Linked DNA regions of Caenorhabditis elegans. Changing the gene in region 1 together with any one later gene gives a genetic interaction. Each region holds a gene or a part of one and is shown in the gene's direction. Other genes may lie near its edges.

Region 1 (8,681 bases):
TTACAATATCTTCAAATTTTGGAATCTTGCCCCCTAATATTTTCAATTCATATTCTCCCAGCTAGATCTTAACTGGAACTTTAAAATCTAGAGCGACCTCATTTTTGCGTGCCAGATAGCAATCTCGACTGTTCCTCTTCTTCCTTCACAGTTTTCCTTATTCATCCCATTCACCGGGTCACTTCACTTCAATATGAGAATCATCATCATCTGTCTCATTTTTCTGGCATTCTTGGTTAATCTAGTGGATAGTGTATGTAAAGCAGGTTAGTTGCCATTTGTATTCTAATCCATCAAACAAATTCGATGTTTGTAGAGGATTACTGTCCCGGAGGTTGGAATGTGATGAGAAAGGCAGATGATACCCCACAGACTTGTGACGCAATGGGCGGAGTCAAATGTCAAAAACCGTATTCGTGTGTGCATTCTAGATGTGGAATGGATTTCTGTTGTGCTCACACTTGTAAGTGCAAATATGAATGTTGAAAGTAAATCAAATTGTGCTTTTCCAGATAAAATTGACCAATGGAAGCGACAACAAGAAATTGAAGCCGACATTAAAGAAGCAGAAATGGAAGATGCTGAGCTCTGAAAATTGTTCTTTATTTCGTTTTTTCCTCACGTTTGAACGTCAATGTTTGCTCATTGCTCTCTTGGATTAGCTTTATTTGCAGAAACGTTTTTCACTTTTCCTATTCGCTCAATTTCTTTTTTTTTTCAAACTTTCTCCATAAAAAATATTGTGTTTTATTTTTGAAAACGAAGCAAGTCAAAAGGACGTTATTGAGAAAAAGAGTGAGAAAAGTTCACACCGATAATTTTTTACTCTAAAGCGACAAACATAGTTGAAGTGGATGAAATTTGAATTTCGCGCGCACTGACTGTTATATAAACTTGTTTTTTTTTAACAAACAGAAAGTTTTGTATTAAAAAAATCAATCTAGAAAATGAAAAACTTGAGCGTCTACTTAAAATTATAATAAATTTTCAAGCATATTCTCTCATTTTTCAAAAAAATGTTCAGTTTCTCTTTTAATTCCTCAGTATGCACTGCATTATAAGCTTTGATGTTTTCCCCATTTAAACTACTCCCTCTTTAAAACATATTTAACACTTGATTACCCATCAAAATCCCGATTAATTCGATCAAGATGTTTGGAAATTTGAGAATGGGAAATCTGATTAGTTCTTGATAAATTTGGTTTTTATATATTTTTTTAATATTTTTCACTCTGTGAATAGACATGAAAATACAACAAAAAAATTTAAAAATTGAAAATCTTCTGGAAAACTTTTGAATTAGTTTTTCAAAAAGTTGGCAGTAGGCTTCAAAAACTCAAAAAATTGATTTCAAAAACTCAAAAAATTGATTTCAGTTTGAAAAGCGGCATTTTCAATATTCTAGAAGAACCTGATTTCAATTTTTAAAAGTTAAAATTAGAAAAAAGTTTTGCTATAGTAAATAAACACCGTAGTTTTTGTTAGTTTCATAACCATGTGAATCCAATAGATCACTGTTCAAAAATTGTAGAAAAAGTCAACAAAAACAACACCAGAGATCAGAGCCATGCGATTGATTTGAGAATTTAAAATCATTCAAACCTTCCACGCAGGCCGAAGTAACTGATCTGGAAGTTGTGCTTTATAAAAAAAACAGACATAGTTCAGTACTTAAAGCGGAAAACATTGTGGACACGCAGATTGTGCTTGTGTTTTTGGTTGAGGGTTTATTTTACTGATAGCCTATATCTGACGTACTGATATGTATTTCATGTTCTTCTACAAACGTTTATTGAAAACTAGTAACTTCTCCGTATCTGCTCTTGACTGTGTCTAATCGTTACAACACTTTTCAATTGGGCTTGTAAATTAGCCTCAAGGTTACGTGGTAAGGCGAGACACACTTCCGATTCTTTCACAGTACTTCTCACCGATTTGTTGCCCATTGCAATGATGCCTAATTCCTTCGGCCTGTTTACGTGTTTAGAGGGCAACACGTAGATGCATGTTCTTCTCTGGTGTTCTCTCTTCCCATCTCACACTCCCTCACTCGGTTCCATCGCTTGTCACCGTACGCCAGACAACTACTCTCTACAAAAAACACACTGCCTCACCCCCTCTCCCCCTATCTGCTGTCCACCACCTGCACCATTCGGCGGGGGTGATGGCGATTGGAGACTGGGGTGACCGACCGAAACCATTAAATCGACGCTCACTGTTGCGTGTATGTGTGTGCCCTCCCTTTCTCCTCCTTTCGCCCAGAAAAACACTCACACAAACAATATCGATTCGAGTATAGTGTGCAAGGTGAAGAGACGGAGGGCCCGACGGGGTGAGCACACAAACAACATTGGTTTGAATTTTTTCTGCCTTGCGATGTTTCGAAAAGTTGCGTATTTAATTTGTTGTGATGTGATATGTTTTGTTTTTTTTGCCAGTTTTTTTCTCTTAAATTTCATAATAAAATCAGGCAGTATTATATATTCTTTTCTCAGCCCATCAAAACCAACAGGTGATTATAATCGTGAGAAACACGAACGTCTCCCAGTCTTCTTCCTTCTCAAGCCCTTTTGTCTTCATAAAAGTGTTTGCTCGTTCTGTAAAGCGCACAGATTTTGGTGCGATGAATCATGCGTAGTTCAAAATCAAACAAAGACAGAGACTCGATGCTTGCAAGTTTTGTTACTTTTTTATTCTCACTTCAATACTTCTTTTTTCACCGCTCTTTAATATCTTTAATATCTTCCTTAAAATTGTGTTTTGCAGGTACTATGGCTCCCGCAACGGAAGCCGACAACAACTTCGACACCCATGAATGGAAATCGGAATTCGCATCCACACGCTCTGGACGCAATTCTCCAAACATTTTTGCAAAAGTTCGCCGGAAGCTTCTCCTGACTCCACCAGTTCGAAACGCCAGATCGCCACGTCTTACCGAAGAAGAGCTGGATGCTTTGACAGGCGACTTGTATGTTACCCCCCTCCCCCTTTTTCTCATTCAAATTTCGCGCCACATACGGCCGAGGTTTCACGCGCACCTGCTAGGCCACGTTTTGTTTGTGTATTTTGGAACTCAGTTTGCTTGTACTTGACGCCCTAGAAGCCTTTGACAAATATGTAAAAGCTGTGTTGTTCTGAGCAGTGAGGTGGAAAAGAGGAAAAGTAGAACACCAGAAAGTATCGGGTTACAAGGGTGGGTTAAGGCGAAGGAATCTGAGCGGGAAGAAGAAGAATAAAGGTCACTTACCAGTGAGCTCTTGGTGGTTCCGTTTCTTTTTGAGTTTTAAGTCTGTGTGAATGTTGGTTGTTTAATTTTAAATATGTAGTGTTTACAAGTCTTGTATAAAAATTAGAAAACCAAGGCGAAACGAAACCTATAATAGAAGATTAACTTTTCCTGGCATTTTCAAATGTTGAACTTATATTCCTAATGTAATAAAATTTTCATAATTTCTTTTTCAGACCATACGCAACCAACTACACATACGCATACAGCAAAATCTACGATCCATCCTTGCCGGACCACTGGGAAGTGCCAAACCTTGGTGGTACTACTTCAGGATCACTCTCTGAGCAGGAGCACTGGTCAGCGGCCAGTCTCAGCAGACAGCTTCTCTATATCCTCCGTTTCCCCGTCTACCTTGTTCTTCACGTCATCACCTACATTTTGGAAGCTTTCTACCACGTCATCAAGATCACTAGCTTCACCATCTGGGACTACCTGTTGTATTTGGTGAAACTCGGTAAGTTGTTTTTCTGCAAAATGTTAGAATTAAAAAAAAAATTTTTTTTCAGCGAAAACTCGTTACTACGCCTACCAAGATCATCGTCGCCGTACAGCTCTCATTCGCAACCGGCAAGAGCCATTCTCCACTAAGGCTGCTCGTTCTATTCGTCGATTCTTTGAGATCCTTGTCTACGTCGTGCTTACTCCTTACAGAATGCTCACAAGAAGTAACAATGGCGTGGAACAGTACCAGTACCGTTCGATCAAGGATCAATTGGAAAATGAGAGAGCTAGCAGAATGACGACAAGATCTCAAACATTGGAAAGAAGCCGCAAGTTTGATGGATTATCGAAATCACCAGCACGCCGAGCAGCTCCAGCCTTTGTGAAGACTAGTACAATTACCAGAATCACTGCCAAGGTGTTCTCGAGCTCTCCATTCGGAGAAGGAACGTCCGAAAATATAACCCCGACTGTTGTGACTACTAGAACAGTGAAGCAACGCTCAGTTACCCCAAGATTCCGCCAAACCCGTGCCACTCGTGAAGCTATAACTCGAGCACTCGATACTCCGGAACTCGAAATCGACACACCACTCTCCACATATGGACTTCGAAGCCGAGGACTGAGTCATCTGAATACTCCTGAACCAACTTTTGACATTGGTCATGCTGCTGCAACTTCCACGCCTTTGTTCCCACAAGAAACTTACAATTATCAATACGAAGAAGCGACAGGAAATAAGATTAAAACTGCATTCACTTGGCTAGGTTACTTGATATTGTTCCCGTTCTTTGCGGCACGACATGTATGGTATACGTTCTACGATTATGGAAAGAGTGCCTACATGAAGCTGACCAATTATCAGCAAGCGCCAATGGAGACTATTCATGTCAGGTATGAACATTTTAAATTTATGATGACCGAGTTCAATTTTTTTCATGTTATTTATACAGAGATATCAACGAACCGGCACCAAGTTCATCAGATGTTCATGATGCTGTTGGTGTTTCTTGGAGAATTCGAATTGCCGATTTCTTGAGCTCATTCGTAGCAACAATCGTTGAAGCGCATCAAGTGGTATTTGCAATGTTCAAAGGAGGAATTGTTGAGACAGTTTCCTATTTTGGAGGACTATTTGCTGGTCTTACCGATAAGAAATCATCAAAGTTCTCGTGGTGTCAAATTCTCGGTCTACTTCTGGCTCTTCTCTTCGCCATCTTTCTCCTTGGATTCCTGACATCTGACAACACAGCAATAAGAGTTAAAGAAATTACCAAAGATAAGAATGCATCTAAGAAGTCGGAAGGATCCCTCCCAGCTGTGCCAATCTGGATTTCAGCTGCAAATCACGTTAAACATTACACATGGATGGTGAAGGAATTTGTTGTAGATATTGGTATGTTATAAATCTCATTTTTCTGTTCAGTGTAGAAAACAACATCTTTAAATTCCAGCATTTGACACGTACAACTATGGAAAGTCGACGATTGGTAGACTTGGCACTACTCCACGTTATGCTTGGGACCTGATTGCAAGCGGATGTGGCGCTGTTGGAAATGGCTTAAAATCTGTGCTCTCATCGAGTTTTCGATTCATCGATTTTTGTGCTGGAAAGCTATTTTACTATGGCTCAGATGGGTTCTTGTCAGCAAACAAGTCTATCGGAACCTTTTTCAACGGTTGCTACGAGACCTTGTACAACGGATGCACAGCAATTGGTAAGGAAAATACAAATTGTATGCAGTCAAAATGTGGTAAAACTTTAAAAAATTAAAATTCGATCAATCCATTATGCTGGAAATCTTTAGTAATTTTCAACATCTTATCAATGGGACATGAGTATTAGCTTTTATTTTTCAGAACAGTAATTTACTTGGTATTTGTGAAATAGAAAACTGAATTCCAAAATGTTTGTAACGAATGAAATAAAATGGAAATAAAAGTGTTGAGCAACATGCTAGTATTATTTTATTTTTCAGGCTTAGAACTTATTAACTTTTTGAGTTATTAATTGAGTAGAATCCTAAGCCTAAAATACCATTCACGTTTTATTTAATTTTTTTTGAAACATCAAAAAACTTTTGTAGTACCAGCAAGTACCATTTACACGTAAAAAAATGATATTATCTGTTTTCACTATTTGTATTTACAACAAGAAAGACACTACAAAAAACCAAAGAAAATCGCTTTTTTTACAGTTGGCCATACAAAGAGCTTCATCTACAATGCTTCAAATGCTGTTTACAACTTTTTCTCAACTATCTTTGCCGGTCTCTTAAACTTTTCTACTTCTTCCCAAAACTCCATTCTTTCTCTTCTCAAGTCATTTGGCACCGGAATCACTAACATTTTTTGTAAGTGCTACAATTTTCAAACTATAAACTTAAATGGTGTTTTTTCTTCAGATAACTTCATTTATGCACCAATCGCTGGAGTGTTCAACTTTGCTGGTGATAACTACATGTATTTCTTCAATGAGGTAGCGGCAGTCTTTGGAAAAGTGTACAACTCCGTGGTTTCCGTGCTCAAAACTGTAATTAACTGGATTCTCTTCCTCATTGCCTACCCATTCAGTTTGTGCACTCGTGCTTGGATTCGCATCAGCCAATATGCTCCAGAAGATGTTGTTCAAGTGATTCCAATTCCACAAGCTATTACCCCAACTCCGGATGTGGAGCGTATTGTTGAAGAGCCACTGAGAAAAGTCACCGATGTGGAGGACGAAGAACTAGTGATAATTCCCGCCCCCGCACCTAAACCTATCCCAGTCCCAGCGCCAACTCCGGCCCCAGTAATTATCCATCAGACTAACGTTGTTGAGACTGTTGACAAAGATGCTATCATTAAGGAGGTAACGGAGAAGGTAACTAACTAATCAATTATTGAATGATTGATGTTTTGTACATATGTACATAATAAAGATTTTTGTTATTTTTAGCTTCGCGCCGAGTTGTCCGCCCAATTCCAGCAAGAGCTTAGCGCAAAGTTTGAGCAAAACTACAACACAATTATTGAGCAACTGAAAATGGAAAACACCAACATTCAATATGATAAGAATCATTTGGAAGCTATCATCCGTCAAATGATCTACGAGTATGACACGGATAAAACTGGGAAAGTTGACTATGCCCTGGAGAGCTCAGGTGGAGCTGTTGTGTCAACAAGATGCTCGGAGACGTACAAAAGCTACACAAGGCTGGAAAAGTTTTGGGATATCCCAATCTACTATTTCCATTACTCTCCAAGAGTTGTCATTCAGGTGAGCGCTTTAGGATCCTCTGACTCCAAGCCTATTATCTTTTCATTTTCAGAGAAATTCCAAATCCCTGTTTCCTGGGGAATGCTGGTGCTTCAAAGAATCCCGTGGCTACATTGCTGTCGAGCTGTCTCATTTCATTGATGTTTCTAGCATCAGCTATGAGCACATTGGATCAGAAGTTGCTCCAGAAGGGAACCGGTCGAGTGCTCCAAAGGGAGTCCTCGTTTGGGCTTACAAGCAGATTGACGACCTGAACTCGAGAGTTTTGATTGGCGACTACACTTATGATCTTGATGGCCCGCCACTTCAATTCTTCCTTGCCAAGGTAAGTCCGAATGATTAATTCTTGACAAGTGTGTGGCTATTATCGAATTAACATTTTCAGCACAAACCCGATTTTCCTGTCAAGTTTGTGGAGCTCGAGGTGACAAGCAATTACGGAGCTCCGTTCACATGTCTCTACCGCCTTCGTGTTCATGGAAAAGTTGTTCAAGTTTAATTTATTTTGTTAATCTTGTTTTTATGGTCAAATTTTCAATTTCCATTGATCTGATTCCGAAATGTTTCAATTTCACCCCTCTCCTGCCAATTTTTCAAATCACAATTCATTTTCCCAAATTTTTCCAGTTCCCTTGTTATATTTTTAGCGCGTGTCCATTTTTTTTCAAAGTATAGAATATCATTACATTTTCATGCAGTTTACCGGTCTCCTGAATACTTGGCCTGAATATATTTGAATGCAAAACCAATCACTCTCTATTTCTCTGCAGCCTTTACCCCCTGATCTCAAAATACTTTATCGATTTTCATAAATTATTTCAATATCTTTTGTTCTTGTAAAACTGAACTAAAACCCATTATGTGGAAGAGTGAATAAGTGTTAGATTGGCATAACAAACCGTAACCGATGGATTCGCAGCAAACGACATTAATTGAGTATACCGCCTAACACATTCATTGATCATTTCTTTTGTATTCCTCGGGCTATATATACTAAACCATGCGAGAGCGTTAACATTGTATTTTCTTCAATTTTCATGGAGTCCTGTGTAGATTTAAAATTACGAATTTTCAAATTTGTGGCGTACTCTGTCGTTGGAAGCTCAGTAATAGCTACAGCGTTTCTTTGTGTAACACTACCGTTGATTTACGAGCATGCACAAAATGGAATGATGACTATTAGCAGAGAAGGAGCATATTGCAAGGTGAGTGATAAACTAAGCATTAGTAATGTTTTGTGCTGAAATAGTTTTTAGTAGTGTATACCTGAACATTTTAGTAATTGAAGTTCTTCCTAGCAAAACATAATTGTCATTTTACATAGAAGTTTGCGGCAATTAAGAGTATAATATTTTCAGAAGTCTATAAACGAAATCTGGTTTGATATGACCGAAGATGTCGACATCGTCCACAATCGAACAATTCGCGAAGCTTACACTGTTACTAGAGGTGAAGGTAACACTGGTTACGCTGTTGGAAGAGGAAGCAATATTAAACCCCGCGGCTATAATACTGGGTATAGATCCCAGAAAAAGAAGAATAATGGTTGGAGAAGCCCACCACGCAGCGGAATTGTTGTTGCGTCAGAAGGAGGAACCTGCATGGGATGCTGCAATCCAGGTCCTCCCGGTCCATCTGGCCACCCAGGAAAACCAGGTCGACCAGGAAGACCAGGTGGTCACGGGATGCCAG
Region 2 (6,035 bases), on another chromosome or scaffold:
ACACATTTACACTCACACACACACACGTTTTTGTGTTTCATTTTCCAACTATTCCTCCTATTATTTTGTAGTGTCTTCAATTCACGCAAATATGGGCCTCTTCTGTCACTGTATGTTTCTCATCATTTTTCACCGCAAAACACACAATGTTGTAACCGTATTTTATGTGTTGTGAATTGAATTCTTTTTTTGCATGATTTTCCCCTTATTTTGTCGTGATTTTCATGCACAAATCTGTTTTTTTGCGGAAAAAATGGGTCCTGGCACGATCGGGACTTTATAGGCGCTACAGTAACCGAGAGTATGGTGGATTTTGGTTTTTTTTTGTTAGCTAAAAAAAACTATTATCCAGACGCAAAAAGTACGGTAACCGGTCTCGACACGCTTGTAAAATTCGAACGGGCGTGCGCCTTTAAAGAGTACTGTAATTCAAAACTTCAGTTGTTTTGCGAAATTTTCACAGTTTTTCGTTGAAAATTTATTTTTCTAGAATTAATTCTATGAAAAATGGATGAAAACCCCACAGAAACAAATATTTAAAACTACAGTACTCTCTTTAAAGGCGCACACCCTGCTGTATTTTAAAGATAAATTATCGTGTCGAGACCCGGTACCGTATTTTAGCGTTAAAGGTACATGGTTTAAAAAAAGTTCCAGGCGTGCCAGGACCCACGGCCGAGATTTTGCACGAAAAAAATTGCTTTTAAATATTTTTAAATATGTACTTTTTTTTGGATATTTACTGTGATTTTTATTGAAATTCACAAGTTTTTCTCAAAAATTCAATAATTTTTCCAGCCAACCCTGCAATTTCGCCCGCCTCACTCTGGAATCGGCAGGATATTAATGAGTTCAAGGCGAATATCAAGAAAGACGGACACGAGGGAATTATTAAAGTTGGACACGGCGAGACGGTGACGGTACGGGCAATTTTTGGAATTTTTACGAAAAAATGAACAGAAAAAAAAACGGAAAATTCGTTGCTTTTTGTGCATTTTGTGCCTTATTTTGGTTCAAAAACTATAAAAATTTTGAATTTTTCTAGGTCCGGGTCCCAACTCACGAAAATGGTTCATGTCTATTCTGGGAATTCGCGACGGATCACTACGATATTGGTTTCGGTGTCTACTTTGAATGGACCGTAGCCGACAGTAATCAAGTTTCGGTGCACGTTAGTGAATCCGATGATGAGGAGGATTATGATGAAGCACTTGAAGCGGAGCAGGCGGAAGCTGGAGGTGGTGGTGGAGGAGCCGCTGGACAGGGTGGACCAGGAGATGTGGAAGCTGGAGCCATGCAGACAAGGTAGCTGCTTGAAATGACGGAGCTTTTGACCGCAACACAGCTGCGTGCGGAGCGGCTCGAACAAAAAATTTTGATTTTATTTTTTGGTCCAGATTTCTAGAATGCAGAATGAAAAACAAACAAATGACAAAAAATCACGCATTCTGGGCTAAAAATAAAATAAAATTTTTTGTTTGAGCCGCTCCGCTATGCAGCTGCGTCGCGGTCGTGGCTGAGGCTGAGGCTGAAACTCTGTATTTTCAATACATATAGAACCTCTGAAAGCCGGCTTAGAAATTAAAAAAAAGGCTTATAAAGGCCTTATAAAGCCTTTGATAGCTTTAACCATTTTAGAATTCATTATTATTGGCCATTTTCAGACGTGTTGATCCGAACAAGCCGCGGCAGGATGAAATAATTCCGGTGTATCGTCGAGATTGTCACGAAGAAGTGTATGCGGGAAGTCATCGTTATCCGGGTCGCGGAATTTATCTGCTCAAATTCGACAATTCGTATTCTTTGTGGCGTTCGAAGACGCTCTACTATCGTGTCTACTACAGTAAATAAGTTCTTAAAAATAATTGCTGCAAAAGCCGCTAATTTATTTTTTCTTTCTAAATAATTGATTTATTGCATCCTCACCATCATTTCCAGATGAAAACATCTCGTTTGACTTTAAAAAATGTAGATTTCTCTTTTTTTTGTATTTTTCTTACCATATCGTCGGTTTTACATTCTTCTTTGGGAATCCGGACTTATACTCGATGTCTCTCTCCTTGAACGCCTCTTCTTTCCCCGTCTTTAATTCATTTTTTTTTTGTTTGATACAATAACGCAATATTCCAGAGAAATAACTATTTTATAATGTATTTCATGCGAAATAAATGATGAATAACTGGAGTTTTTAGTTGGAAATTTACTTTAAAATGAGAAAAAAGCGAAAAGGAGAGAGTTAGAATTCAAATATCGAAATTTCGCGCCATGGAGCATGCGGGATTTCGGAGTGTCGTTGTGAGAATTTGAATTTTAAAAAATTTTGTTTTTTTGTCTGAAATTAATTTTAATTGTTTCCCAGCTGAATTCTGCTTATTTTTCAGGATTTAAATATGTCAGATGAAGAATTCGACATTCTAGATGATGAAAATAGTCATGTGGCTGCATCCCAACACGTGGAAGATGGTAAAAACTCAAATTTTCTTTATTTTTTCCCGTTTTAATCAACAAAACTTCAGATGATCCTGATGATCGCCACAATTCCGGAAATCGACGAAATTTCTCGATGGCAATGACTCAGAAGCTGTTCGGAAATCTGGATGGAGCCGGCGCCGAGAATCACGTTTCCTATGCTGAAAATGCGTACGTCACGCCGAGAAATCGCTTCGAAGAGATTTTAAAAGAGGAAAATGTGAGAATTGTGAACGATCAGGACGAGGGAATGATGGATATGGAGATGGGAAGCTATGAGAAATGTGTCGTTTTTGGAAATAATTTAAATAGCGAGGATCTCTGTCGAAATTTGGAAAAACGAATGGAAAATGATAGAGGAGAGACGTTTGCGGAATTTCTGTTGGCTTGTGGAAGTGATCAAGACATGTTGGCTCTTTTTCTGAGCCCTGCAAAATCGTAAGAAGATTTTAATCGTGAATGAGCTTAAATGTGGTGTATTTTCAGACTATTCGGCCTGCAGGACACAATTTTCCGGGCTTTTCTTCAAATCAAAGCGACGCAAACCAAGGCCTTTGATTTTTTGCTTCAAAAACTGAATATTCTAGCAAAACGGCAGGATGAGAGAGATTTGCTGCTGGCGCAGACTTGTGTGGCCCATATGCGCCACTTAAGCCGGCTCTTCGAACCACAAGCCGTGTTCAACACGATTTTCGAGTTTCAATGGAGATTCTGGAGCCCCAACGTCAGAAATGATCTGATCGCCGCGCTTCCAGAGATCTTCACCGATATCTCTCTGCAACAATCCACCGCTGTCCGGCTTCACAAGGAATGCTCAGAGACACAAGGTGTACCCGGTCTTCCATCGTTTCAGCTGCAAATTATAGAAACTCTACGGCTTCTGCGCATGGATCCCGGCACCGCCAGGAAGATTCGAATGGATCTTTGCAATTTGTGCATGGATTTGGATCCGGCGTGTCTTCCATCCCTCGTCGCGTTCTCTCTGGGAAGCTTGTTAGTTTTTCAAGGCAAGGCCGACGATGAAGAAGCTCATTTTCATGAGATGCTCCGTCAGCTCGCTCGTCTTCTGAAAATCGATGGTCTCAAGAAGAAAACCAGCAAACCATCTTCTGATTCGCTAATCGTCGAGGTTTTCGGTCATTTTCTAAAATTCTTCCGACTCAACGATAAACGCGCCTGGAAGCACATAACCACGTGGATTTCCAAAAGTAAGAAGCCTGTGGTGGCGACTAAACCGGAAGAGGATATGGATTCAGAAGAGACCCCGTCGCCACCGGAGGAAGAATCTGCCACGTGGCTTACCACATTCGAGGCTTTTCTCTATTTCTCGTTGCTCTCCAACACGGAATCGTGTCCGCCGACGTTCGTAGCGGCGGTTAATTCGAAAATCCTGAACATTCCGGCCGCATTCACCACGAAATTTCTTCGAATCATCGATCTTGTCATTTCATGCAAGAAATTCGCCACGTGTCACTTGCCGGCTCTAATCCACGTGGCACGGCACTGCTTCTGGTCGTCGGATGGAAATGTTCGACAGATGGGTGTTTCAATGTGGAAACAATTGTTTGTTGGAATGGAGAAACGGGATAGAGAGGTGCTTAGTTAGTCGAAAATTCCGGAATACTACTGAGAAAACGAAGAAAAACTGAAAAATTCAGCCTTAAAACGTGATTTTCAAATTCCCACCAAAACGAGACCTGCGACCAATCAGCGAATCGCTCCGCCCACTTTCAGACCAATCAGGCGGCGTGGGCGGAGTTTGACGACGCTGATTGGTTCGAAAGTGGGTGGAGCGAATCGCTGATTGGTGGCAGTCCTCATCTACTAATTTTGGAGGAAATTTAGCAAAAAATTGGTTAAATTTGACATTTTTTCTCATCTTTCGTTGGTATTTCTGAAATTAAGGCTGTTAATAGCGTTCTAAACATCCAAAATAATCTAAATTTCCGAAATTTCATTTCGAAAAAACGAAAAGAAAAAGAGAAATTGAACACAATCTGGTCGTTGAAGCTGAATTTTTCATTTTTTCGCCATTTTTTTCATTTTTTATGTTATTTTGGAAATTTATTCTATTCTGGGTGCTCTCAACATCAGTAACAGTCTTAATTTCAGAAAAACCACCGAAAATAGCGAAAAATGAAAAATTCAACCTAAAAACCGCGATTTTTCAATTCCCTCCAAACCGAGAACCGCAACCAATCAGCGATTCGCCCCTCCCACTTTCCAATCAATCAGCATCCTCAAACTCCGCCCACTTCGTCTGATTGGTTTAAAAGTGGGCGGTGCGAATCGTTGATTGGTCGCAGTTCAGGTTTTGGAGGGAACTCAAACAAAATGCTTTTTTTTTTCACTTTTTTTCTGTGATATTCTGGAATTTTGGACAATTTTGAGTGTTTTTAGGGCAAAATTCTCAATAATATAATTTAATAAATTTTTTCAGAAAGTCTTCACCGAACTTATGAAGCACTTTTCCCAAAGTGAAACCGAATGTGAAGCCGTCCTCGATGTATTCTTTAAAGTTATTAAATCAACGAATTCCAGTGTAATTCAGGAATTTTCAACGCAAATTCAGGTTTATTATTTATATATTTACAACGAATACATCAAATATCACAAACACACAAAAAATCGAATAAAAATGCAAAAAAAAACAGAAAAAAATCGTAAATTTTATCCACAACCACCTCCTCCACAGCAACCGCCTCCCATTGGTGGTGGAGCGACTCCGGATGATGTTGGAAGTCCTCCGATGTTTCTTCCGCCTCCACCTCCACCGCCTCCATTCCGCCTGTAGGCATTTCCACCGCCGCCTGCTCCGTTAACTCCGCCGCCTCGAACAATATTCCGGTAGTCTTGAGAATTGCTGTTTCGGTTTGTAGGAGATGTGAAGCCGAGCAGTGAGCGGAAGCTGAATTTTAAAAAATATATATGATTTTTATTGAAAAAATGATTTTTCCTAATTCAAAAACTCACAATAACATGATAAATGTGAAGAATCCGACGATCATCTCGACAATTCCTTTTTGCTTCTTTTCGAGCACATTTCCATCTGAAATATCCTATTTTTAGGGACAAAATTGCTTTTTTTTATCGATTTTTTTAGCATTTTAGTCAAGAAAAAACTCACCTTTATCGATATAAACCATGCTTGAACTGGTTTCTCTTCACTTTTTCGCCCTGGAAACCGTATAAAAACAGGAATCACACGTGAATTAGTCGTCGTCGTGTTTGCACACAACTGTTGTGTACACCGCGACGACAATATGCACAGAATGGAGGGAAAGGTGTTGGGATTCGATTTTATTATTTATATTTAAATACATTTATTTAATATGAAGTAGATTTGATAATATTGAAGGAATTATATAGTACATATTTAAAGGCGCATGGATTTTTCAGATGGGTCTCGCCGCGAAAAAAAAAGTTTATGGTAGTTTTTTGTCGTTTTAATCTCATTTTTCTGTTTAAATTGTTCAAATTATTGAAGTTTTTGCCTTTTCACAGGCTGACAAACAGGCTCATATTAATGAAAAAAAAACTGATTTTTAACGGTTTTCACAGAAAAG
Region 3 (7,088 bases), on another chromosome or scaffold:
AACTTTTCTTCTTCTTTTCTCTTTCGTCTCTCTTCTCGTGCTTCAATTTTTTCAAACAGAAACTTCAAAAGACGAACACCTTGCAAACGGCGAGTGGCTCGTGATCGTTGCTCTGCTTCAAGTCGTTCCTTTTCAAGGCGTTTTTTCTCTTCTTCAGCCATTCGTTCGAGTTCCCTCTGAAATTTCGTATGTTTTATTATGATTTTTTGAAACGTTTCAAGTGAACCTTTTCGCGGCGTTTCCGTTCTCTATCTTCTCGTCTTCTATCTTTATCATCGAGTTCTTGTTTAACTTTCAGTTCTTCTTGACGTCTGAAGAGGTGAGTTATTTTTAAAATTGTAGCATCAACAAACTTGATATTCAACTCCTCTTCTTCTTGCCGCAGTCGTTCCGTTTCAATTTGACGTCGTTCTTCCGCTCGCTTTGCAATTTGAACTTCGCTGAGATGACGTGATCGATCGAAATCCACCTATGAAATTTTAAGCTATTTCTCAACCTTAATTCTGGGAAATTAACTAACCTGTAGAGTGGCACGAGGTGATTCGTTTCAGCGAAGAATATGCAATTTTTAAAATTGATATTGAACGTTTAGAAATAATGTGATAGATTTTTCAAAATTGCAAACTAACTCTACTACCCTACTATACCTTGACATTAGCCTGAAAGAACCGTCCATCAATTCGTTTTGCCCATTTACGATTTCTCAGGGAATCCATGGCAGTGGCGAAACCTTTATACTCCATAAATTGCACATATGCTTCAAAAAATACATCCTAAAAATTCAATTCGTTTGATTTTACAAATAAAACACTGCGATACCTGCCCTAATCCGAAACCTTTTTGCTGAATACCAGAGATTTTTGAATTCATTCGAGATCGGAGTGGGTCACAAATTGGAATGTCGACAACTCTAACAGATCCGAACGCTTCCATTGCAACGCGAAGACGTCGTTCAGAAGGAAGATCATTGTAACCATCCTAAAAATGTGTTTGGTGAAATAAATTCGAATGCAATGTTATGGAGCAACGTACGCAGAACCATTTCACTGGAATTCTTGCCAAATAAACTGTATCAGGACGTTCTCCGGGTTTCATCTCGTCCATCTTATGTTTCATAAACCAATCATCCCAATCATGACGACTTGGAAAATCAAGCTTTGCCTCTTTTGTTTTAACTTTCAAGGGCTCAGCAAATCCAGACACTTTCATAGAGAATCCATCGAGAATCTTCATCGTTTTCTGCATGATTCCTAGCGAAAGAAGTTCCGCTTCAAAAATAACACTGTCGATATTGCTCTCACGAACTTTGCAAGAATCCATTTGAATTGGATCAATTGCACGTTTTAGTCTTTCCATGAGATCCCAATTAGATATTGATTGTCCCGGGATCGTCATCTACAATTAAATAATAAATCGATGTAATTATGATAGTTAAAAAAACGTACCCGAGGCAGCACTACGGTAATTTTTATAACAGCCATCGGTTTCAGATACAAGTGTTGCGCCTTGTTAAAATCTTCAGCTTCTGATCCCAGGTAATCGAGAGCAGTGGGAAAATTTCGCGCCATGTTGACAAAAGGTTTAATTTTTTTGATTAAAATTTGCACTAAAATAGAAGAAACATCGATATAAATTGAAGTTCGATCGAATATTCGATGAAAAATTGTTCTTCGAATAAGTTGTCCGAGAGGAGTTCACCACATGGGGACGAGGAATGAATTTGGATTCTAGGCCATGCAGTCTTTTGAAGTCCACTCGGACAAAATATTATGAAACATTTTTGTTGCTGTTTACTTGATTTCACGAGAATTTGTCAGGCTTATTTTTTGTTCCACTATTTTTCGTTCAATTAAAAAAAAATATTGTTAAATTACAGAACATGAGCCACACTCAACAACAAACTGCTTCAAGCACTGAAACCTCTACTGTCACCGTTCCTCCATCTCGAGAACAGAACTTGGTGCTTCATCTTAGTCCAAATCCAGCTCAGCCATCAACTTCAGAACGGCGACACGTAGTTTGGGCCACCGAAACAGTGGATAACGAAGGAATGGGCAAGAAGAAGAGCAAATGCTGTTGTATCTACAAGAAGCCCAAAAATTGGCAAGACTCAAGCTCGGATTCTGATTCGGATTGTGAAACCGGTCATTGTCGTGGCCACGTCGAGCACAAAAAGAACGAAGAGCCGAAGAGCTCTAATTGAGCATATTTCATAATCGATTTTTCCCATTTTACCCCTCATTGTCCGTCTCTTTCCCAAATTTGTGCATACTTTTGTTTATTTATTTTCGTTCGTTATTCCGAATAGATGTTCAATAAAATTATTTTTGAAGAATCTTCATGGCGTCAGATGTGATCTTCGACGAAGTAGTTGACGTCTTCAACAAGATTCGGCGGACTTCAAATGTGAAATCAAAGCAAGCAACCTTTCAGAAAAACTTTGAATCATGGAAAGAAAAGTGTAAGACAATTGGGCGAACTATTACAATGTGACGTTATTCTTTTAAATTCAGGTTCTGATCCATCTGATATGTTTGTCATAATACGGTTCTTCGTTTCGGATTACGAGAGGTTCAGAAAGTTCGACATGGGACCGACTAAGTTGGCAAGCTTTATGGCAAAAACTTTTCACGACGTCAGGGCTGATTACGTATCAACTATCTCGAAAGATGCATCAACAGCAGCTCGTCAGTTGGCTGAAAAGATTTCTGAAGAATATAGAACTGAAAATGATGAATCTACAGTAGTCACGGTTTCCGAGTTGAACGAAATTCTTGATTTCTTAGCGGCGGGACCAATGGATGATGGGAACAGTCAGTTATTGGCTTACACCTTTTCCTATTCAAAAAAAAGTTTTCAGAACGAGATAAGATGTCGAAACTCGTTAAGAGATGCTCTGAAGACGAGTTGGAATGGATTTTCAACGTAATTCTTAAGAACGTTGAATCAGCTCTTGGAGCCCCAAGTAACAGGATTCTCGACTGGATATCGCCTTCTGCTTGTGCTATTTGGGATCAGACACATGATTTGAAAGCAGTTCTAAAAGGAAAATTGGTAGAAAACAAAGGAACCAACGAATTAGGAGAAACAAATGATGATGACGATGAGCATCTTTTTAAAATATGGACACCCATGTTACTTCAGAAGCAGAAAAGAGGTGACTGGTATGCAAATGTGAGTTTTGGAATTCAGTTCATAATTCAAGTACAATTTATTGTTACAGATTGAAAAGTTTGGAGGTCAGAAATTCTTTCTGCAAACAAAATTCGATGGAGAGAATGTGCTGCTTCATAAGAAAGGAAACGAATATCGATGGTTTACAAGAAATAACAATGATTTTTCGAAGGTTTGTTTTTGATTAATAACTTATTACGTATTTGTGGTATTACCCGGACGCGAAGTTTTGCGGCCAAATACGATACCGGGTCTCGACACGACTTTTCTGTAAAATGTAGGAAGGTGTGTGCCTTTAACAATGTACTGTGATCCACATCTAAATAATATGTTTAAAAATTCAGAAATAAAAATAATATTTAAAAAAAGTCGGCTCAAAATATAAACTTAGAAATTTTTTATTCGAAAAATTGTATCCAGTTTGGGATTTTCAGGAATACGGTGATTCGTCAATGGCAATCGGAAAGCTCTCCAGTCGTATACATTCATTTTTCAATAAAGAATGTGAATCGGCAATTTTCAACTGCGAACTCATGTTATGGGATAAGAAAACGAAAAAACTTTGCCGTCACAACGATGCTTCAACCACATCAGATGCTCAAGTTTTATCATTCCGACATGTCAAACCTGACGATAATCAACAATTAAGTGAGTTGAAATGAATTAAATTTATGCAAAAACTTCACATTTCAGCCGTCGTCTTGTTTGATTTACTGTACTTAAATGGAAAACCGTTTTTTGGAGCACCACTTCATCAGAGACTCGAGATGCTCAAGATTGCTCCACTGAAAAAAGAACGAGAAGATACAATTTTTGTGGCGAAACATGAGGAGGGGAGTAAAAAGTTTGTCGAAAGCATTCATAATTTTTGGGTCTTCATCAACTTTTTTTCAGAGAGGACATTCAACAATTCTTTGAAATAGCAATGGCAAATAATGAAGAAGGAATCGTTGTGAAGAGAACAGATAGTGTTTACGTGAAAGGACAAAGGTAAAGCTGGAAATAATATTCTAGTTCAAAGTCTATTCTTTATTTTCAGAAGCGCTTCTAATGGATGGTTCAAGCTGAAACCGTCTGCATCAAAGGACTGTGATCTAGATCTGGCACTAGTTGCTGTACATCCAGGAGCTGGAAGGAATGGAAAAACGCTCTACAGATTTGCGGCTTTTGATGAGAAAACTCAAGATTACAAGCTATGCCTCTCATGCTCTTATGGACTTTCTGACACTGTTCGCGAGGCGATTCGTTTTGAGTATGGGCAACTCCTAGAAGAAGCTCCTGAAGAGCTCACATTTTATGGAAAACGACCGAAAAATATTGCCAGAGGAGATGGTGGATACATTGATTTCGAGCGCTGGCAAGTGATTAAAATCACATCGAACGGTGTTCGCAACGGAAAATTGGTTGATCCTGTTATGAGAGAGTGGAGACTTGATAAGCCTGTTGAACAGGTCAACACTTGGGAAGAATTTTCAGACTATGCAACGGCACGTGTCAAGTTTTAAACGGAAGCGAAGAATTATTATTTGTATTTCAGAAAGTTCAAGAATGTAAATTGGGTGATAACGTGGACAGTGATGAAGAAGATTCTGAAGATAAGAAACCAGATACTTTGAAAGTGGAACGAATTACCCGCAAAGCTATTCATCAATGTAGACATTCAGAAAATTTAATTTTGATTTATTCTTTTAATTTACAGCAGCTCCTGTTCGTCTGAAACGTGCCAAATTAGAGTCAAGTTTGACTGGAATTGAAGTCGCCGTTCTTCAGGGAACATCTGAAACAATTCGACGAAAGTGTGAAGAGATCTTGAAACATTTTGATGCAACTGTAGTGAAAGGAATAAGTGAGTGATTTAGTTTTCAAGTTGAAGTCGTTTTCAACGAGTCATCATACCCCGCACAACAAACTCAAAATTCCATTAGTCACCATTGTGCTCATATCCTTCTACTTATACACAAGCTAGAGACAGTGATAAATAGTACAAGTGTTGAGTCGGCTCAGAGCGGCCAGCTGGTCTGTGTTAGTGGTGTTACTCATCAATTGAAGTGGGCCAAAAGACAAGAAAGATAATCCTGAAACCCTCGAGCGGACAACGTTTAATCTGATTGATTTACAGTTGCGCATATTTTTTGTGTGAATTAATTATGAAATATAATCTTCTAAAAATTAGACTTTTTATCCGATCTTCAATATGAACTTCTTTTTTCAGCTCCATCCACCAAATTATGTATTGCTACTGCTCCAAAATCCACACACCCTAAAACAGCTCAAGCCATCGCTTCGAACTCTTGTACTGTTCTGAAACCCGCCTGGCTCGAACGTTGCAATAAAGATGATCTGATTCAGGCTTGGTTGCCTTCTGATGTGTTTCATGCCATCGAAGGTGGATTCGAGATTCAGGAATAATTTACTAATTTCGATTATATGTGATATCGCTCTTTATTTCCTTTTTGATAGATCTACTTCATGCAGTTTTATTGTTCTCCGCATTCCTGTGAATATGATATTGATCTATGAATAATCTTTTACCAATTTGTCATCTTATATAACAAAATATAACACATCAGTGATTTGTCCAAGAATTGTTTATTATTAGACCGTAAATCATTATTCCTCCGTGGATTGACAGTGTCTCTTGAAAATTGAGATTTTATCAGGATAACTCGTAAGTCCCTTTTTCTCGCCAGATCCCTGAAATTCTTTGGAGACATCTCTGCATCATCATGCGACAACATTCACAAAAATACCAAACAGCAGTAGTGGCATCAGCTACGAAAGAAGAAGAAGAGGAACCGAAGACACCGATCAATTTTCGACAAGAGACACACAACTGACACTCAACTACCACCAGGGGGTGGGCACGGATTACGGTAGTTTTGCATGGCATGAACAATGTTTAGAAAGGAAATTCGAAACATAAATTTAAGGAAAATTAAGAACTGTTCATATTGTCAGTGTTCATTTTTTGATTCCTGCTTTCTACTATCCATACGTTTCAGATTCTTCCGTAAAATAGTTGTATAAACTATTCCAATTGATCTTAGAAACATTTCGCGTATTGAATTTATTTCAGCTTTTTCGTTCAGCTTTTCTGCAATTTCCATATTTCTCTCTTGTAAAACTCTCCGACGTATTTGTAAAAGTGGTCTCGCCACGATCCATAGCACTTAACAAAGATCGTGACCAACATAGAAGTATTACGCAGAAGCGAAATTTTGTGATTACTGCTCTATAACTGTCCTCTCTTGCCACGACAGATTTTCGTTAAATGCAAAAATTTGTGCACCTCAAAAGACTACTGTAGGTTTAATCGGGGTTTCCAAATATTCGATCAAAATAAATTTATTTATCTAAAAACTCGAATAAAACAATAAATTTTTTTAAAGTCGTGATTAAAACTATAAATATCGATGAAAATTCCGCAGCTACGAGAATTTAAGATTACAGTACTCTTCAAAGGTGCAGACCTTCTCGCATTTAATTTTTTTTTAAAGTTGTCGTTTTGAGACCGGCTATCGTATTTTTGCCACAAAGTCGCAAAATTTTGAGTCTGGGTAATGTGCATTTTAATTCTATCAGTAGAAGACAACTTTTAGAAAATGGCTCTAAAATTAAAGGAAAATAATTGTTGAGTTCTCTACCGACCTAATATTTTTATTTTAATAACTGGACCACCTTCATTGCCCTCTAAAGAATAGGGCGTTTTTCAAAACCTTCTATTATTTTTGTTTGTGGCAGCTCAATCAGTTTTCTCAGAGCAAAAGAAGCAACACATACGTAAATTATGGTGACTGGGATAAAAGCACAAAAGTGTGTAAAATAGAGACAACAACACAACTCAAGAGAGCCATAAATTTGAAAGGTGTCAAGAGTAAGGCATATGAGTTGGTGGGAAGACTCGAGTTGAGGGG

What was found.
Region 2: of unc-84 (region 1) and fcd-2, changing one enhances a phenotype caused by changing the other (phenotypic enhancement), as found in Caenorhabditis elegans (one study listed by BioGRID).
Region 3: of unc-84 (region 1) and lig-4, changing one enhances a phenotype caused by changing the other (phenotypic enhancement), as found in Caenorhabditis elegans (one study listed by BioGRID).

What each region holds. Positions count from the first base shown.
Region 1 is NC_003284.9:13,582,009-13,590,689, forward strand, and holds unc-84 (Nuclear migration and anchoring protein unc-84), read left to right. Parts: upstream 1-2,766; 5' UTR 2,767-2,771; coding exon 2,772-2,968; intron 2,969-3,462; coding exon 3,463-3,743; intron 3,744-3,795; coding exon 3,796-4,624; intron 4,625-4,683; coding exon 4,684-5,126; intron 5,127-5,184; coding exon 5,185-5,448; intron 5,449-5,928; coding exon 5,929-6,084; intron 6,085-6,135; coding exon 6,136-6,593; coding exon of another isoform or gene 6,594-6,605; exon of another isoform or gene 6,606-6,663; intron 6,664-6,668; coding exon 6,669-6,989; intron 6,990-7,041; coding exon 7,042-7,314; intron 7,315-7,374; coding exon 7,375-7,488; 3' UTR 7,489-7,813; downstream 7,814-8,681. Other genes in the region: srf-5 (WAP domain-containing protein), read left to right, coding at 194-266, 317-463, 513-592; col-9 (Nematode cuticle collagen N-terminal domain-containing protein), read left to right, coding at 8,027-8,194, 8,348-8,681. UniProt on the Caenorhabditis elegans protein: Involved in nuclear migration and anchoring in hypodermal precursor cells. Most likely recruits anc-1 to the nuclear envelope where anc-1 functions to tether the nucleus to the actin cytoskeleton.
Region 2 is NC_003282.8:15,023,331-15,029,365, forward strand, and holds the start of fcd-2 (FANCD2), read left to right. Parts: upstream 1-2,375; 5' UTR 2,376-2,390; coding exon 2,391-2,463; intron 2,464-2,516; coding exon 2,517-2,907; intron 2,908-2,955; coding exon 2,956-4,063; intron 4,064-4,909; coding exon 4,910-5,041; exon of another isoform or gene 5,042-5,139; coding exon of another isoform or gene 5,140-5,377; intron 5,378-5,442; coding exon of another isoform or gene 5,443-5,518; intron 5,519-5,596; coding exon of another isoform or gene 5,597-5,615; exon of another isoform or gene 5,616-5,648; intron 5,649-6,035. Other genes in the region: Y41E3.7 (Golgi resident protein GCP60), read left to right, coding at 72-110, 799-920, 1,046-1,305, 1,665-1,851; Y41E3.8 (Glycine Rich Secreted Protein), read right to left, coding at 5,140-5,377, 5,443-5,518, 5,597-5,615.
Region 3 is NC_003281.10:7,519,130-7,526,217, forward strand, and holds lig-4 (DNA ligase IV), read left to right. Parts: upstream 1-2,333; 5' UTR 2,334-2,340; coding exon 2,341-2,461; intron 2,462-2,513; coding exon 2,514-2,813; intron 2,814-2,860; coding exon 2,861-3,174; intron 3,175-3,223; coding exon 3,224-3,346; intron 3,347-3,608; coding exon 3,609-3,822; intron 3,823-3,867; coding exon 3,868-4,018; intron 4,019-4,068; coding exon 4,069-4,164; intron 4,165-4,213; coding exon 4,214-4,665; intron 4,666-4,715; coding exon 4,716-4,826; intron 4,827-4,873; coding exon 4,874-5,020; intron 5,021-5,140; exon of another isoform or gene 5,141-5,226; intron 5,227-5,386; coding exon 5,387-5,583; 3' UTR 5,584-5,741; downstream 5,742-7,088. Other genes in the region: akap-17A (RRM domain-containing protein), read right to left, coding at 1-176, 227-311, 354-469, 648-773, 820-978, 1,033-1,395, 1,446-1,568; C07H6.2 (E3 ubiquitin-protein ligase PPP1R11), read left to right, coding at 1,880-2,203.